Tribolium castaneum: one gene and its partner. Each later gene encodes a partner of the first gene's protein in a complex. Links are inferred from orthologs where the notes say so. Each region holds a gene or a part of one and is shown on either strand. Other genes may lie near its edges.

The links. Proteins that work in one complex are often made in the same cells at the same time.
Region 2: thoc6 (region 1) and thoc7 share a complex: the UniProt entries of both Drosophila melanogaster proteins name them as parts of the THO complex. The link is inferred for Tribolium castaneum from reciprocal best matches to the Drosophila melanogaster genes thoc6 and thoc7.

Annotation. Positions count from the first base shown.
Region 1 is NC_087395.1:25,799,572-25,805,596, forward strand, and holds thoc6 (THO complex subunit 6), read left to right. Parts: upstream 1-2,492; 5' UTR 2,493-2,673; coding exon 2,674-2,786; intron 2,787-2,832; coding exon 2,833-3,222; intron 3,223-3,267; coding exon 3,268-3,430; intron 3,431-3,479; coding exon 3,480-3,800; 3' UTR 3,801-3,832; downstream 3,833-6,025. Other genes in the region: DNA oxidative demethylase ALKBH2, read right to left, coding at 2,261-2,276; protein rhomboid, read left to right, coding at 1,183-1,356, 1,409-1,729, 1,777-2,112; uncharacterized protein LOC103314375, read right to left, coding at 4,114-4,535, 4,920-5,095. UniProt on the Drosophila melanogaster protein: The THO complex is required for cell proliferation and for proper export of heat-shock mRNAs under heat stress.
Region 2 is NC_087397.1:9,556,666-9,560,951, reverse strand, and holds thoc7 (THO complex subunit 7 homolog), read right to left. Parts: upstream 2,946-4,286; 5' UTR 2,825-2,945; coding exon 2,788-2,824; intron 2,735-2,787; coding exon 2,121-2,734; 3' UTR 2,000-2,120; downstream 1-1,999. Other genes in the region: arginine-hydroxylase NDUFAF5, mitochondrial, read right to left, coding at 1-326, 667-818, 865-1,156; alpha-ketoglutarate-dependent dioxygenase alkB homolog 6, read left to right, coding at 1,352-1,999. UniProt on the Drosophila melanogaster protein: The THO complex is required for cell proliferation and for proper export of heat-shock mRNAs under heat stress.

The DNA.
Region 1 (6,025 bases):
ACGTGGAGTCAACGAATATTTTTCAACCTCGAGAATTAGTTTTACAGACTTTTATTTACATAATTTTACTAAAAATGTTCTTTTGTTTGTTATTTTTTTTATTGAAATTAACAGAGATAAGCTGAGTGGAAGTAGCTAAAGTATTTTGATTTAAAGGCTTAGTGACTGGACTAAAATACGTATTTGTTCACGTATTGTAGTATTAATTTAATTCAATTTAATTTAACTCTCACAACCGCAATCACCTTGACAGGTGCCAAGTACAAATTTCTATTTGCCATGGAACACGTTCAGATATTCTGCCGATATTTCATTACATCTAATTTAGTTTTTAATTATTTTGGTTAATTATTACGTGTGTGATATTGGTCTTGTAGGATTTTTTTACCAAAAATTTAAACGAATTTTTTAATTGTTTTGAGCGGATAATAAGGTGAAAAAATGTAGGTAAACTGTAGGAAATATCAGACAATTTTTATACACTGCAATTTGAGGCTATTCAACCAACTTACGTTTTATGTAATTATTAAAAATAAAAATCAAAGAAATGGTTTTGTGTTTATTCTACTGGCCTTTTTTATTTTATTATTTTTTTATTTTATTGCTCTTAAAACGTCATGGCCACCCTAATATTTAGGTCACCATTGACGGAAATACAAAAATAAGAATTTTTTCGCTTACTTTGATAAGTAAACATAAAAATGTAAGAGTAGAAAATACGTGCAAGTTTAAACTTTAAATGTAAATAAAAAAAATACATACATATTTTGGGGCATATTTACAATTAAACCAAACTAACAACATTCTTATCTTGTTTCATCGATTTTATCACTTTTATCTGGCATTTCGCTTAAAACCGGTGCAATTACTTCATTAAATAAATTGTCAGTAGGTGTATCAATTACAGAGGAGTCATGTCTAACTATTTTCACTCTCCTCGAGAGTGAAATACCTTCTTAAACGCAAGTTTTTTGTTTTTATAACTTTAACTATTTATAGTTGGTTCAGTTTTATTCAAACTGTATGCGGAGTAGATGCCGCATAATAATTGCTCAAATAGTACGACACAAAATCGGGCCTATTTCCCTCCACTTTCGGACATGTTCCAGTAAGTACCTAATTTATTATCACACACAATTTTAATTAATTAAGTTTTCGACCCAAATTTGGTAAATTTTAATTATGCCACCGTCGCAAAAAATCCAAGTGAAATTAACCGACCCCATCGACCCCTTAATCGAAACCGAGCAAGTTTTTATCCCCTTTCCCTTATCACAAGAAGTGAAGAAATCGTCGCAATGGGCCGCTTGGGCAAGAAACACACCTTTCGGTATTTTGTCAGTCAGTGTTTTAGAGGTAAACCAGATTTTTGCATTATTTTTAGCTAATGTTTATGGTAATTCACCAGATAATCTTCTACGCTGCCTCGGATGAAAAAACCCAAAAACTGCTCCGCTTCGAACCGCACAAACTGACCGAAATTTGGCGATTCGTCACCTACATGCTTTTGCACGAAGACTGGATCCACCTGACTCTCAATATTTTCATGCAAGTGCTTTTCGCCTATTTTTTAGAAGCGCGACACGGAAGCGTGCGGATTCTTGTTTTGTACGTGACCGGGGGAATCACCGGAGTCTTGGGAGCGGCCTGTTTTCACCCCGACTTGGTCATTGGGGCCTCCGGGGGCGTGTATGCGCTTTTAATTTCGCACATTTCCGATATTTTTCTAGTAGGTATAAAGCGAGCGAGAAACAACATTTTTGTAATTTTTTTCAGAACTTTGAAACCTTGAATTACAAAATCTACAGATCTGCGTGTATCGGAATAATCGTCATTTTCGACATTATCTACAACGTGTTACATGCCAATTTTAAAAAGGAGCCTTTGATATCGTGGGGGGCCCACATGATCGGGGGCCTCGCAGGCCTGTTTTTGGGTCTAGTGCTCTTCAAGCAAAAACCGTCAATTGCACGCACACGGAGATTAGTTTTATTTTTGGTGGGTTTATTACTTTACGTAATTTTATTGATCTCGCTTGTAATAATAACCGTTCAGATTAAAAAATGTACTCCGAAGGATGCCATACGCAAGCGGTATGTTTATTTTTGCTGATATTTTTTTTATAACGAGTGTTTGGCTATAAATGTGCGGTAGCAAAGTAAAGCGTGAAATTACACAACTTATAGATGTTTGCGGCTATTTTTAGACGTTGGTTTTGTAAAAAAGTGAAAAATAAACGATTAAACAAACTGCTGCTTACTTGGTTGCACGCTCATCACAACACCACTAGCTCAACTGAGATTTTTTTAACGTTTTTAACACTTAAATCTGCGTTTTCTCGTTCTTTTTTTATATCTATACAAATATGTGTACGTTTTAAGGTATATTTTTTACGTTTGTTTTAGAGTTTATAGTATAATATGTTTAATTATGACATAAAAAAAACATAAATAAAGTTAGGTATGCAACTAACTTAACCGCGTTGCATGTTAAGTTGCCTGTATTAAGTCGATTGAGGTTATATTGTTTAATGTTTGGGGCTGTATTTATGTTAAATACACGTTTGCGCCCTTTGTAATCGTATAATTGGTAATAAAACCAGACTTTGTACAGTAATATTGCCTATTAAACGTGCGTTTAATTCACAAAAAGTTATTTTTTCTTAACCTCAAAATGGTGAACAAGTTGAATAAATCGTTCTATAACACTGTTTTGAGCCAGACTTTCACCCCGTGTGGCAACTATCTCGTCGTAGGTGACATTTACGGCACAATTTCGGTCTTCCAGTAAGTATTAAGTAACTTCCAGCAGCCCCCTGAACCCCAGTTCCAGCCTTTCCAAGCTAACAAACCAAGGATCTTCGATCACAAAAGAAGACCAACTGCCCAAAAACGCATTCACGATTAAAGAAGACGTCCAAATCAACAGTTTATTGACCATGAAAGCGTTCCTTGTTGTGGGGACAGTTGGCGAGATTTTGGGGTACTCCTGGAAGAACGTCAAAACGAGCAAAAAACCCTCCTGCTCGTGGACAATTGAAATCCCGAACTCCAAAGACAGTTTCGACAAACCTGACGTTAATTGTTTAGTGTTTGAGCCCGAAAATAATTTATTATTTGCCGCCTGTGGCGATAATAATGTTTACGTTTTCAACATCGAGACACGAAAAGAAGTGCGGTGTTTTAAAGGGCACAAGAATTACGTTCACTGCATCAATTTCTGGTAAGTGATTACAGGAACCTGTACTTTGGTCACATGGCATTTCAGTAACAATAAACTGGTTTCGGGGGGCGAAGACGGGCTTGTGCTGCTATGGGATGTGAGAGGAGGCCCCCCAGTGAGCAAAATCGAGCCCCACAGTAGGGATAAAGTGGCCAGGGTGGAGCTGGGGCCCTGGATAGGGGGCGTTGGGATTAACGATGATTGGCTGGTATGTCAGCAATTTTGGGCGAAGTGGCCCCCCTTAAATGATTTTTTAGTTGTGCGGCGGCGGCCCCCGACTGTCTTTATGGCACTTGCGCTCCCTGAATATCGCCACAGTGTTCCCCATTGACGATAAAGGGATTCATGTGGCGGAGGTCTACCAAGACAGGATTTTCGCAGGGGGGCGCTCTAATTTATTCTACCAAATGAGTTTTAACGGGGACATTATCACGGAAATTCCGACGTCTCCTGTGACCACGTACAGTGCGGTGCATCAGGATGAGCCCTTCCAGACTTTGTGCATTGCGGGGTCGAGCCCCAAAATCGACGTTTGTAGCAACTTTATCTACAAAAATTTGCAACTATCTCTGTATTAAGTCTTTAGTAAAATAATAAACCATAAATAATTCGTCCAGAATTTGAATTTGACAGCTGTCATTGATGCTCTTTAGGTTAGGATAAGGTACCGTTAAAGAGTCAAAAATCGCTCGAATGTGACCCCAAATCGTTTATAACCCTTATTATTTTTTTAAGAACAATTAAGTTACAGTATGGCCAAGTTTGAGTGCTCAAATTGGCGTATTATTGTGTGAAATCGCAAATTTCATATTTAAGTTGGCAGGACTGTATTAAAAGACAATTTAAACTGTTTGAAATAAATTTTTAATAAATAATTTGTACAACTTTTATTTACAAAAATCCGTGTCCGGCTATAACCGCCGGTATGAACCCCTCCTCTCCCTCCTTGTTGCGCACCCAGAACCACCCCGGCACATGGGTACCCTGGAGTACCACAACGTCGCCTTTCTGCACCTGAAGGGCATTTTTTTCGGTGCCAAAGTAGTCACTGTTGATGACTAGGAGTGTTTGTCGTTGGATTTTGCCACGTTTTGAGGATGCCAAAGCGCTGAGGTAGAGTCGATCGACGCTTCTTTCTTCACAGGTGCTTGAGGGGCGCAGTCTTCGGCTGTGGCAGCGCGTCTCGACGCTACATTCCGACTTGGAGCTGAGTTTTTCGGTGTCGGTCATGTTGCCGGAGGGTTTAGGGAACACATCGGTGCTGTTCTCCCAGCAAGGGGCGGTGGCGTCGTCCTCAGGGGGTGGGATAATGCCTGATATAATTTTTTTGATTTTACCATTTTAACAAAATTTTCAAAAATTAAAGCTACAAACAAATCATTTTCATTGAAACATTATTGCACAAATTACCAAATTATTAGTTACCTAACTTACAAAAAAAAATTATTATTCTATTAAATGTTCAGAAAAATACTCATATTTTACTCATCATATCAGTTTTTATAGTGAAACCTTTAATTTAAGCAGTCTATGACTTTGACACACTATAAGTTGAACTTTGCCAACTTGATTTAAAAAAAAACACAGGTTACTTGATTTTGACTAAAAATTGCTCGATTTCGCTCTTTTTTGAGTCAAAAAATTAGGAAAAAATCTGTTTATTACCTAGTGGTAAACAGGCCGCATAGCTGACATACCCCTCCTCGGCATGCGGCGTCTGCACATACAACCAGTGCTGGTTTTTAAAAACGGCATTAACCACCATCCCCAAAGGCAAGGCAATTTCGGCTTGGTATCCTCCGACTCTCGTCTGGTAGAGAATGCTGGGGAAGGCCAAGACGACCGGAATGTTGGCCGGTTTTTCAATCGTGGCCTAAAATTTACCCACAATTAGCTTTGGTTGTCCGAATAGGAAAAAAAACACACACACACGATCGAGATTAATAAGGAGATTGCGACGACCCTACAATTATCGTTCGTGGGTGGATATTGAACAGGTGTTTTCCACGATTTTGTACCCCTTGACCTGAGTTTCCGAGGCGTTTAATTGCCCCTCTGACAAACTAAACACCACACGCTGGAGGAGGATGTGAGCTATGGACCGGTAACTACAGACCGGACTCCTCCTCTAACCAGACTTGTGAATTATAGCCCACGGAACGCAGAAATGACCCCAGGCAAGTGTACACTTCGACGATAATCGATTCATTTTCGGAATTATCGGAGATGGCTGGGAAACAAGCGGACAAAACAGAGAAAAGTTTGTTTGGCTGCTAGATTATAACTACTAACTATTGATTCCTTAGCAAATAATTCAAGAATTTTGAACTATTTTTTTATTTTTGATACTTAATACTAATAAGTGATTATAAGACGAAAAATGAGCCGCTGAATTCATTGGAACAAACCGCATTGCTCTACGACTTTTTTTATTATTGTGTTAACTATTTTTATTGTGTTAACTTTTTTTAACTTTTTTTATTTTCCCAATTACGACTAAACTATTTGAAAAAGTGGAACTGTTTTGATCCTCACCCATGCAAAATGATCCGGGGAATCGATTGGCATCGAAAAAATTGCCAAATTCCCAATAGTTTTTTAGTTATGAATTTTTTAAAATTTTACCAATTTTTGCATTTATCTGCAATTTGCTCAAAAACTATTAGTCGGAGAACAATAATTTTTTTTGAAAAAAATAGATAATTCAAAGAGCTTTCCAACGATAATACACTTTATAGGGTTATCTCTGATAGTTCCGGAGCTATAGCTCAACAAATGTTCCGGGTACTCAAAATTGACAAAA
Region 2 (4,286 bases), on another chromosome or scaffold:
ATTAATTCAAACAAAGTAGGATAATTCACAACAATTTCATCAGTGTCAATAGTGAGCATTGTGAAGCCAGCCCTTGTCAACAAATTGCCAATATCTCTAACTTCGGTAAATGGAGATATGTGAGGAGAAATGCCTCCACGACGCTCTAATTCAGCCAACTGGAGGGAAGATCTCAACTCATATAAAGTATCTCCTCCAAAAACCGCCGCAAGAAGAACACCATCCTCCTTAAGCGATTTTAAAATTTGCTTAAAAGCGTTCGGCAAATCGTTCACCCAATGCAAACTCAAACTTGATATAACCAGATCAAGGGAGTTTGGCTCAAACTGAATGTAATATATTTTAAACCAGTTACAGAGGATTATGGCTAGGAGACTAAACGAGATACAAACTTGCAGGATTTAAATCAAACCAACTCCCTAATAACTTGTAAAAAATGCAGGGTTAAACTTTACAATGGAACAACTGCCGCTCTCTGGCGACATTAACGGAACTATCAAGGAACTTATTACTTGTACTTCGTTTGATATCCTAACATTTAGAGATCCGTAGCTGAGACATTGAAATTAATAGGTTGGCAACATGAGTATGCTGACAAGGGCGTCATTGTCGCCAACTTATTAATTTTAAAGTCGGAGACTACTTTGATCAGGAAATTTCAATCACCTCAATGTGTTCCTCATCTAGTACTTGTTTCCTAACTTTAATACCCTCTTGTACTTGAACACTGTCTAAATTAAAGCGGTTCATATCACATAAGATTAGTTCTTCAATACATTTTGGTGAAATATGTTTGGACACGTAGCCCCTGCTGCAACCTAATTTAGGTTTAACCTTCCTCTTCCTGTATGAACTTAAACTCACCAATGTCTGCGGCCAGTTTAAACTTGCGTTTGATATCAAACACCCTGTCTGCTAGTCGATAGCCAATTTCATCTTTCAAATAATCATACAAATTGGCGTCTTGTGCGGAAGCCGCCCGTTCCCTTTGCAAACTCTTGGTGTTCCTATCAAACACATGCATAATGTGTTCGTCATTTTTCTGGTGAATTAAAGCACCGACCGAAAAGTGTCTCGCTTTTTTAAGATTCTTCAAAATGCGGAGTTTTGTCAAAGAGGATTTACGTGAACGGAAAACTATATTAACCAAAGACATGACACTGTTTAAATGAATTAAAAACAACTCATTTCAGCACAACAAATCATAATTGTCACAATGACAGTTTAGGATTTTGAGGTTAACCAAATGTCAAATGTATGTCAACTGTTGTGATTGAAGTTAGATTTAGCCCTCCGCCCCATTTTTCTGTTCCAAATTCTTACATGTATTTATTTTACTGTTGTGTGTTCGATGGATCTGAGCAGTTTTCAAGTGTTACAAGCCCCTCCGACTGTCTACTACATTCCAAATTTTGTAACACCTGAAGAGGAGGCCCACATTTTGAAAAATGTGTATTCAGTGCCCAAACCAAAGTGGACGTGTTTGTCCAAACGAAGACTGCAAGACTACGGGGGCGTGCCCCACGAGAAAGGCATGATTCCGGAAGCAATACCAAACTGGTTGACGAAATACATGGAAAAAGTCGCTCAATTGAACGTTTTTGAGGGAAACAAACCGAATCAAGTATTAATCAACGAATATCTTCCCGGCCAAGGCATAATGCCACACACTGATGGGCCACTGTTTTATCCCACTATTGCCACCATTTCGTGTGGCTCTCATACAGTATTAGAGTTTTTAGAAAATAACGAAAGTCGTGCTAAAGTTTGCCAATTACTTCTCGAAAGGTGTAGTCTAGTTGTAATTAAAGACGACATGTACGCTAAATACCTCCATTCCATTAGAGAAATTGAAACTGATGTTATTGATGAAGGCTGTGCAAATTTACTAAATTGTGAGAAACAATACGCCATTGGCGATAAAGTCAAAAGAGACACGAGAGTTTCTCTAACCATTAGAAATGTGACTAAGGTGCTTAAAATAAAACTATTCAAATAATTTTTGTACTTGCTTTTATTCGCCTAAAATAACATAGCTGATGACATGTAACCATGGTAACTGTCAGATTTTCTAACATAAATTAAGTAACCGTGGTAATTGTCACTTTTACCAACTTAAATTATTCAGACATGGGTTCAGGGCCTGTGCTGTCCGCCACATCCTCAAGTAGACTGTCGTTATGGCAATATTCGTTTGACTCCTCCAACATTGCTTGTAATTTGCTGGCGCTGGACACCAGCACGTGAAATTGTTTTCTCCTCATGTCCAGTTTCTGCTCCAGCAGCTCCTTTTCCTTGTGCAACTCTTTCAGTTCCGCTTGTAAGTTCGAAAGGCGTTCGTTTGTTTCCTTGCGTGCTGGCTGTTCGGCAATACTTTGTGCCAACAAATCGTACATCATGTGGTTTTGTTTCCATATTTTGGCTTGTACTAAGTTGTCTTTGTTTTGTTTGATTGAGTCTTTTACTTCGCTGATTTGCTGTTCAAATTTGTCGTAAATTTTTTTGTAGTTTTCAAGCTGACGCGATGTGGTTCTTGTGAGGAGTTGGGATCTCCTGACTGAGTATTCACAAAGGCTTAATTGTGCTAGTAGTTTGTCGTGGGTTGCTTGGTTCTCTAAGGGGGAGTCTTCGGTGGAATTTGCCCATTTTCGAAGAGTTTTTGCTATTACGTTGAGCCTGCGATCGTCGCCGGTTCCGTCACCGTCTATGAGTAACTTTCTTTTGATAATGTCCTCTAGAAGTTTTACTGTTTGGACACACTAGTAATTTTATAAGGGAAGTATTTACCATCCGACATGGTACCACGTTTGTCCTTTTGTTTCATTAAGGCGGATTTGTTTGCACTGTGGACGCCGAAAAATTTGTATTTTTTGAGGTTATGACACAAATTGTCAAATGTTGGCACTTGCCAACAGTTGCATCGAAAGTCTAAACCAAAAATTACTAGAAATAGCAATTAGAGGACATGTTGAGATAAGTGTTTTAATGGTTGCATATAACAAAAGCTTATAAAGCGTAAATCATTTAAAAATATGACTATAATTTATTTTATTAAATAATACGTATTTTGGTGATTTTGTCATCGGCTACGAATGTTTTCACTATTTTAAAACACGCTTTCCATAGCAACGTGTTTTAAATTTAAACAAAAACAAAAAATTTTGAATAATAATTTATGCAAAAACGCTTAAAGTTCTCAGGTGTCTAGGTGTCTCGCATACGCTCGTTGCATAACGACAGCCCTCGAACTTTAAGCTTCTAAAGTACCAACTTTAGTCCCGGAAATACAAAAAAGCAAATTTTTGTGTCGTTTTTTGCTCCTGTAAGCAATTTTTTGTGCATTTTTTTTGTCGCAACCTATTTGTTTTGAGTTGTTTTTGCTCCTGAAAGCTTTTTTTGTGCAATTTTTTGCTCCCGCAAGCTATTTTTTGGCCGTTTTTGTAAACACAATAATACCTCAAAAAATTCAACAAAAAATAAACTATGTATTAAAGATTTTTACATTTTAAGTGAATCTGCTCCAGTTTTTGCTACCACAAGTTATTTCTTGTGCTATTTTCTGTTTTCACAAAAAAGCAAAAAGTTTCTAATTTCAATTTTAATGATGTTTGTTATTTGGGTAATTTATTTATTATTATTTTGGATAGACATATTTCAAAATTTTTTATCGCTATTAGAGTATTTCATACGCGATGTGCATTTGACAAAAAACAGAAAGGTCTAGAAAGGTCATCACAATTTAAATTCAAAACAAAAAAATAAGATGAATTTTCGGTAAATCTTACAATAAACAGTCTAAATAGTTTTTACTTTTTAGACACGTAACTCGTAGTTTCATATTTAATTAAGCTTTAAAATATTGTTTTATTTATATTTTATCAATTATATCAAACTTGAAGCATTGCAAGATATTTAATATCTGGTTTCTATCGGTACAGGTACTAACGGAATGATCACCTGATGATTATATTTACTCTAGGTGATTTCACGTGTCTAATGAGAAAAAATTAATAAAGGGTAAAGTACACCAAAGTAAACATGACTGATAACGGTGTACTTTCCTTGTTTATTATTATTTTATTACTACTTGATTCATTATTTAAATCACATTTTTAATAAACGTGGATACTTTAGTTATCAATAAATTAAATCCCGTAATCATATTTTCAAAAATCCGTCGAAAATTATGATCTTAGCAGTTCAAAGTTCACTTTTTTCTTATTTTGTCGACGAATCTCCAATTACTCATCGGATTTAAACGATTCAGGAGAAGACCGCGTGTCCGG